2 linked regions of the Drosophila melanogaster genome follow. The protein of the gene in region 2 interacts with the protein of the main gene of each other region in a pairwise test. Each region holds a gene or a part of one and is shown on either strand. Other genes may lie near its edges. The genes, in order: CG12766 and CG6665.

Region 1 (4,310 bases), on a different chromosome or scaffold from region 2:
TAAAATATTCGCTGTAACATTTTTCTATTCATGACATTGATCATTTCAATTTTATTTTAAATGCAGCAGAGAAAAAGCTTTTAATGTTATTTACATTGGTAGATTTTAATACAAACATATTATTTCCTATTTTCACAGCTAGCTGGGTAAAACAATCGACTTCTTATATTTTTCTTATCGAGAACTTGACTTTCATAATGGATCCGCTACCCTATTTTCTATTATCTGTTCTATTGTGCATTATGATACGGGTACAACTTCGATTTAAATACAATCAAAAATAAAAGTTTTCACTTTTGTTGTAAAAGTATATCAGTTTTTAAATTTTTGCATTAAGAAATATATACATTCTCTAAGAAAAAACTGAATGACTGGAACAAAAAAGTGCCGCGCTGTTTGATTTATTAACCAATCCATGTGAATATCAATGGGAAGTACTTGTGATGATAAGGCCAAAAAAGACATATACAAAACACTTACGAAAAATACTTACCGATTGTAAATGACGTTAGAAATCTTCTTGCTTTTGGGCATTCCCTTACAAGGGTTACTATTTATTTATTAATCATAATAACTTAAATATATTTGTTGTATCAAAAACAAGCACTATACACGTTGAAGGGATAGTATTTACTCTTGATGGCTTGTCGGGCATGGGCAACACGTTCTCCATTGTGATACGAGTCCAAGATGGCATGATCTTCAGCATCCAGCTTGAAATCGAAGACATTGAAGTTCTCCTCAATGCGCTTGGGATTGGAGGACTTGGGCAGCGGGATGGTTCCCAGCTCAATCTGAAATTAGAATTCATCATGAGAAATCCGGTTCAACATAAGGCCTAAATCGAAAATCCTTACCACATATCGGATCACCACTTGGGCAATGGACTTATTGTACTTGTCTGCGATGGCCTGAACCTTGCCATCGTACATAAAGGTGGGCGTCCTCAACTCGGCATTGTGCCTGCCCAGTGGACTGAAGGCGGTCACCAGGATTCCATTCTTCTTGCACAGGGCAATCAGTTTCTTCTGATCCAACGCGGGGTGTACCTCAATCTGCAGAAAGAACAATATGAGTTGAGAAACTGGAGGGAACATCCTGTGACTAAGTTACTTGATTGTGGATTGGCTTGATCTTGCAGTTGGCCAACAGGCGCGTCAGTTGCTCCTCGTTGAAATTGGACACTCCGATGCTCTTGGTCAGGCCCAGGTCAACCAACTTCTCCATGGCGCCCCAAGTGTCCAGGTAATCAATGTCTCTGTAGTTTGAAGCAAGTAAACGGCATAGTAAGATTACTGATAATAGAAGGCGCATTTCACAATCACTTGTAAGTGCCAATCGATTCGAAATATTTCATATATTATTCATTTTACTCACACAAGTTCCACCTCTCCATTGGCATCTTTGGGAATCAGTTCGTTATCACCGCGATATTTATAGGAGAAAGGCCAGTGAATCAGATAGAGGTCAACATAATCCAGGCCAATATTCTTCAAGGTCTTTCGGCAGGCATACTCCACCCTTTCCGGTTCATGGAAATTGCACCAGAGCTGCGGAAATATGTGGCCACTTAAGGATTAGTTTATGATATGCCTGCTATAAGAACTTGCCAACTGACCTTGGTGGTGATGAATATGTCCTCCCGCTTGATGACGCCTTCGGCAATCTTCTTCCGAACCGCCGCACCCACTTCGGCCTCATTTCCGTAGAAGTAGGCGGTGTCTATGTGCCGGTAGCCCACATCAATCGCGTGGAGAACTGCCCGTTCGCAATCGCCTTCCGTCGACTGAAATCACAAGTCATCAATAACGTTAGCGGTTCTTCAAATGACGTTAACCCGGCTACTGATAGGCGACATTCCTGATCCGTATCGGATATGCTATGATCAACCAGTCAATGTCATACCGCGAAGGTGCCCAGTCCGATTCCCTGGATATGGGTTCCGTCGTTGTGCTTGAAGTAGTACTCCACTTTCCCGGTCATCTTCGCGGTTACAAAGTTGAACACTGAATGCTTGGGTTGCTCGCTTCACCTCTGTTATAAGGTTTTCGAATGGGCCCATAGAACCTTCAAAAGACCTTTTGCATTTGCAGATAAAACACGGCCAAGCTGGCAGAGAAACTTGGAAATAGTTTATAGAGACGCAAGGAGCGTAGGTTCTAAGTGTGCTAACCAATATATTAAATGCATTATTTTAATGTTTTAATAAGGATAAATTAAACACATATTTTTTATAAATGATCCAAACCAAATCATGTGTAAAATCCCATTTAAAAATATGTGGGAACACTTTTGAAAAACACTTATCGATAGCTTGATAGTTGAGTGGCGCGCAAAGCTGATTCGGTTAACTTTATCGCTAGTTTTGTTTATTTACCTATTACATGTGGGTTTGTTTATATTCTCTTCCCTTTTATAGCTTTTCATTTTTGCAATCTGCCTTGCAGTTGTGAATAATTGAATTCAGACAAGTGTTGGCGAAATTGTACTAGACCAAATGATTTTGATTAAGTGGAATTTTCCATGCCAAGCCCACACTAAAAACTAAATGATCGAGCAAAAGCTCTCTCTCAAATCATTAAATGTTCAGCAGTGGTGTCCAAAAAAGGGTATTGTTTAATTAAGATTATATGTATATAATCACAAAATGAATTCGTATTGTTTTCATAGATGACTTCAAATGTTTATTATATTTTATGCCCCTTTAAAATATTTGCCACACCCTTGACTGCAAATAAGAAACAGTTCAAGTGATAAGACTAAAATAGAAGAATTACGTACTATCAAAATGCTTAAAAGTAAAACTAATGCGATATTATGTAAAAAAAAAAAAATAAGTGTGCTTGTTATATAAAAATCTCCAAAATAAACATAAATATTTCAACATGAAAAAAGATCTCAAAAATAATTATTATTGGTGTTTATTTTTAAAAAACATATGTATATGTACACAAAATATCAGATTTAACAACCACTTTAATTAATATCAAACATTGCTCCTGCTTTCCAGCTCAAAACTCGATGTTAAATGGATAGTTCTTGCTTTTGATGGCGTGGGTCATGGGAATCAGACGTTCTCCGGTGTTGTAGGAATCCAGAATGGCATGATCCTCAGCATCCAGCTGGAAGTCGAAGATCTGGAAGTTCTCCTCGATGCGCTTGGGATTTGAGGACTTTGGCAATGGGATGGTTCCAATCTCAATCTATTTCGATAAACATTATGTTAATAAAGAGTTTTTGTTCTCATTAAACCTAGTTCGTAATCCCTACCAGATATCGGAGCACCACTTGGGCGGTGGACTTCTTGTACTTGTCTCCAATTGCCTGCACCTTGGCATCATAGATGTAGTTGGGCGTCTTTTCTGCTGGATTGGGTCTGCCCAGGGGACAGTAGGCGGTCACTACAATGTCATTCTTCTTGCACAGAGCAATCAATTTCTTCTGGTTCAACGCGGGATGACATTCGATCTGGAAAATGGTCTATTAGGAATATGAAACCCAAGGCATAACCACAATTGACGCACCTGATTGTGGATTGGCTTGATCTTGCAGTTGGCCAGCAAGCGAGTCAACTGTTCCGAGTTGAAATTGGATACGCCGATGCTCTTGGTCAGGCCCAGTTCCACGAGCTTCTCCATTTCGCGCCAGGTGTCTAGGTAATCGATATCGCTGTAATAGCACAAATTTGGTCATTAAGAGTCAAGCAAATACAAACGAAGCACACCCGCATTAGAAAAGTAATTGACTAAATTAAAAACTCACTTGAGTTCCACCTCCCCCTTGGCATCGGTGGGCATCATCTCGTTGTCGCCGCGGTAGACGTAGGAGTAGGGCCAGTGCATCAGGTAGAGATCCACGTACTGCAGACCAAAGTTCTGCAGAGTCTTGCGGCACGCATATTCCACCCTCTTCGGCTCATGGAAGTGGCACCATAACTGGGGAGTATAGATTTCCATTTCAGGATGTTGGGCATTTCATAATTGACTAATCACAGAACTCACCTTGGTGGTGATGTGGATGTCCTCCCGCTTGATAACGCCCTCGGCAATCTTTCGCTGGACAGCTGCACCCACCTCATTCTCGTTCTCGTAGAAATAGGCGGTGTCTATGTGCCGGTAGCCCACATCAATCGCATGCAGCGTGGCCCGCTCGCAATCGCCTCCCAACGACTGAAAGTGCGAATCGTTTTATAATGAGATATGGTCCGTTTCCAACTGATAACCATCGAAGACGTGATCTTCACGGCGTTATCTTACCGTATAGGTGCCCAGTCCGATGGACTGGATTTGGGTGCCGTTGTTGTGCTTTAC
Region 2 (4,105 bases):
GGTCACACCATGCTCTGCTTTTCCGGGCTTCTGCCCAAAAATAATATATAATAATAAAACCGCTTCACAAAGTAAATGTCACCAAAAGAGAAGGCAGTTCAAGAAGCAACCGAGGAGCTGATTTGCCTTTTTCCCTCCGCAGCAGTGTCCAGGCCAGAAGATCCGTCCACATCGTTTTAGCTGTGAGGTATGCCCTCGACCTGATATGAATCACATGCCCGCCGAATGATAATCGACTCCACCCAAGACCTAGAAATCTGAAATGACAGAGAAAGTGACTAAACTGGCGCTGGCCAGTCGCCTTATCGTCCTCCTGGTACAATTGGTCGCCAACGGAGCCCTGCCAGAGCACAAACCAGATGTATTCCGGATGCCGGTTTCGTCAGATCAGAATGCCTCCTGGATAGACAAGGTGATTAAGCGCTGCTTGGGAGGATTACGGCACTGGGATGGAGAATACTTTCTGCATATAGCCGAGAATCTGTACAGCTACGAAAACACGTTGGCCTTCTATCCACTATATCCGGTTGTCGTGCGTCACGTGGGACAGGCCGTGGAGGCCATCGGGATCTCCTTATCACAGGAATCTATCCTGCTGGTGGTGGCTGTCGCCCTGAACTTCTGGCTCTTCTGCGAGTCAGCTAATTTGCTGTTTCAGCTCACCCAAGTATTGTTCAACGATTTAAACAAGAGCTGGAATGCGGCCCTCATCTACTGCTTTAATCCGGCAACCATTTTCTTCACCGCCGCCTACTCAGAGACCTTTTTCGCCTACTCCAGCCTTCATCTGATGCTGGAGTGCTCGAAGCCGACGGGTAGCTTCCGATATCTGCGTTTGGGAACCGCCTTAGCCGCCTGTTTACTGTGCCGCTCAAATGGATTAATCACCTTGGGATACCCGCTCTACTTCTTCGGACGCCAACTGCTACTCAAGAACAAGGAGCCCAACACCTGCATGCAGCTGACACAAATGACGCTGACCATTCTGGGAGCCATTGGGATACTGCACACCTACTATTTCTACATATACAGGCTATACTGTCTGCCGAACACAAGGCCAAACCATCCGCAGCACATTGTGGACTACGCAGTGGAACGGAAGTACCTATTGTCTGGCCAGGGCTCTGAAGGATCACCTTGGTGCCAGTACACGTTGCCGTTCCCCTACACTTACGTGCAGTCGCACTACTGGGATGTGGGCTTCCTGCGATACTACAAGTGGAAACAGCTGCCCAACTTCTTGCTGGCCCTGCCCATGCTGAGTTTCATGCACTGGCACTGCTACGACTACATGCAGCATTTGGCCAAAGCGGTCTGGGCCAAATTGACGCCCTCTGGCTTCAAGGAGCTGATAAGGGACCACACCACATTCCCTTTCGTGCTGCACGCTGCGATTCTCACCCTTGTCTGCACCGTCTACGTGCACATCCAAGTGTCCACACGCCTCCTGGCCTCGGCCACACCTGTTTTCTACTGGTTTGCCGCTGACCACATGCCCAAGACACTGGCCCAACTAAAACTGCGTTCGAAGGCAGGAGCTCTCTTTGTATGGTGCACCACTTATAGTTTGGTGGGCACGGTGCTATTCAGTAATAATTACCCGTGGACGTGAGCAAAATGATTGAAGTAAAAGGAGCAATATAACTCGCTGGTTGCCAAAGAGACTGTTCATCCGCATGGATTTCTTTTTTAGTGTGTAAATAATCGTCCAAGTTCTCAAAATTCAATTGTTGAGGCGCTCAAAAGTATTGGTTTCCCATTTCTATTTCCATATATCATATACAAAAAAGTAAAAAATAAAATTGTTGACCATTTTAGAAAATAATTGTAATGATTGTTTTGTATTACTGTTACATAAGTTTACATTTTCCTAACCATTACAAAATTATGTGTTTAAAATTTGCGCTTCGTTTTTGAAACTTGGTATATAAGATATAATTATGTATTTCTAGTATTTTCCAAACGTAAGCGGTCACACTCAGAATCAGCTGACTTGGGTGGTTGACCAAAACAACAAAGAATTTTCTTGAGAAAATTGTTTATTATTTCATATCCGCGAATTAAAAAGTATTCGCCATGGATGGGCATCTGCGCCTGCATAAGGTAGGCGACTACGCCGCACCGAGTCTTCAGGAGAAGGCCAGCAAGGCGGGCGGCAACATGGAACAGCTTTCGGGCGTGATGATAATCATCATAATCAGCGGAGGAGTACTTACTTGCCTGATGCTGTTCATCTTTGCCAAGCGGCAGATTATGCGCTTCCAGCTGCGAGGACGTCGGGGGCCCCACGTTCCGGTAGGCAATGATGCCAAGAAGGCACTAAGGAGAGAGATTGAGCGGCGCCTAGATTGCATCCAGAAAATCACGCAGGAGCCGAAACTGCTGTGGGACGATGGCGACAAGTACATCGTTCAGCCGGAGCAGGAGGCACCATTGCCACCCTACTACTACCGCATGAAGGCGGTTGATGACGTGAAACTGCTAGAATCCGAAATAGCGAGGGCGGACGGTAGCTCCCGACATGCTCCTGAGAGCTTGAGGGCCTTTCTGCTGACCACTTTATCGGTGACGCTTAACGGAGCAGGGCAGCGAATGATTCACCAATATTGCGATATGTACGAACATGCTCGGCACGATCCGAATGAGTTCGGAAAGGATGAGTACGAGGCGTATCACCATTTGCTGCTGAAGCTGATGGAGGCGTATGTGAACTAGAGTGGGCTATTTGTTAATCTTTTCAATGACAATGAACTTTGCTTTTACCTTACAGATCCAAACAGCTAAAGAACTACAATTCTCGTAAGGCATCGCCTGCACGAACGCCCAGAAAACAGACCAAAATGCATTCCCTACTAGATCCTGCGCGCCTGCGTCCGCCCACGACATTGGAAAATGTGCAGCCCAGCAGTGAACTTAAGACTGGACAGCACGCCAAGGTTAATCTGACTCTGGGTCTGCAGGGAGGCGGTGGTGGCGGTGGCGATGGTCCCGCCGAGCTAGCCACAAATCCTCTTCATCTTCAAGCACCCTCCGACAGAGATCTCATCATACGCAATAGAATTAAGACACCCACACTGGATGACATCATCGTAGAGGCGGACCACCATCAGAGCAGTGATGGAGGTGTCATGGAGGACAATGAGATTAAGAGTATATCATCAATGCAGTTTCAGCGGAACTCCAGCAATGTCTAAGACAATTTCCAAAGAATTCAGTCACTTTTTCTTATTGGCTTTTATGTCTGCCAGGAAAATATGGGTATACATTTTTTTGTTCTTTATTTATTTGTTGGAAAAAGGGCGAATAAAAGCCGATTGCATCCTATGCTATCTATAGTTTAGCCCATAAGAATTGCAAAATATGAAATCTGCGCCTAAAACTATGGTAAAATGGATTACATTACATTAATTTTTAAGTAAATAAAGATTTCTAAATATAAATCTAATTTAAATAAATCTAGACTTGGTTAAAAAAATTTTTAATTCTTTTCTAAGAGTTTCCTATTTCTTGTTCTTGCAAGGATCTTCCTATTTCTTGCAGGGATCATCCTTTTTTCTTACATGGATCTTCCATCTAGCAAGCACCCTTTTCCTTCGCATCGCATTGGTCGACCAACTGGGCATAGAGAACTAGGTCAAGGAGACGGCAGGAATATCCGGTCTCGTTATCGTACCAACTGATCAACTTGACGAAGTTATCGTTTAGGGCAATACAGGCCTTGGCATCAAAGACGGATGCAAATCGTGAGCCGTTAAAATCGGTGGACACCACCTCCTCCTCCACATACCCCAGGATTCCCTTCATTTCGCATTTGGATGCAGCCTTTATGCACTTCTTGATATCGTCCATTTTGGCGGGCTTAGAAAGCCTACAGGTGAGGTCCACCACCGAGACATTGGGAACTGGTACACGGAAAGCCATACCCGTTAGCTTCCCGTTTAGATCCGGAATCACCTTGCCGACGGCTTTAGCGGCTCCCGTGGATGCGGGTATGATGTTGGTCATGCCACTGCGTCCATCCCGCCAGAGTTTGCTGCTGGGTCCGTCGATGATCTTTTGGGTAGCTGTAGCCGCATGAACGGTGGTCATAAGGCCCTCACATATT

Evidence for each region.
Region 1: the proteins of CG6665 (region 2) and CG12766 interact in a two-hybrid assay, tested with the Drosophila melanogaster proteins (one large-scale study listed by BioGRID).

The regions. Positions count from the first base shown.
Region 1 is NT_037436.4:3,938,102-3,942,411, forward strand, and holds CG12766 (uncharacterized protein), read right to left. Parts: upstream 2,025-4,310; 5' UTR 1,984-2,024; coding exon 1,906-1,983; intron 1,787-1,905; coding exon 1,619-1,786; intron 1,551-1,618; coding exon 1,378-1,550; intron 1,259-1,377; coding exon 1,114-1,258; intron 1,056-1,113; coding exon 858-1,055; intron 795-857; coding exon 594-794; 3' UTR 523-593; downstream 1-522. Other genes in the region: CG10863 (uncharacterized protein), read right to left, coding at 3,012-3,203, 3,271-3,468, 3,525-3,669, 3,763-3,935, 4,002-4,169, 4,257-4,310.
Region 2 is NT_033778.4:16,955,491-16,959,595, forward strand, and holds CG6665 (uncharacterized protein), read left to right. Parts: upstream 1-1,974; 5' UTR 1,975-2,076; coding exon 2,077-2,702; intron 2,703-2,770; coding exon 2,771-3,194; 3' UTR 3,195-3,437; downstream 3,438-4,105. Other genes in the region: PIG-V (phosphatidylinositol glycan anchor biosynthesis class V), read left to right, coding at 263-1,612; CG9010 (uncharacterized protein), read right to left, coding at 3,574-4,105.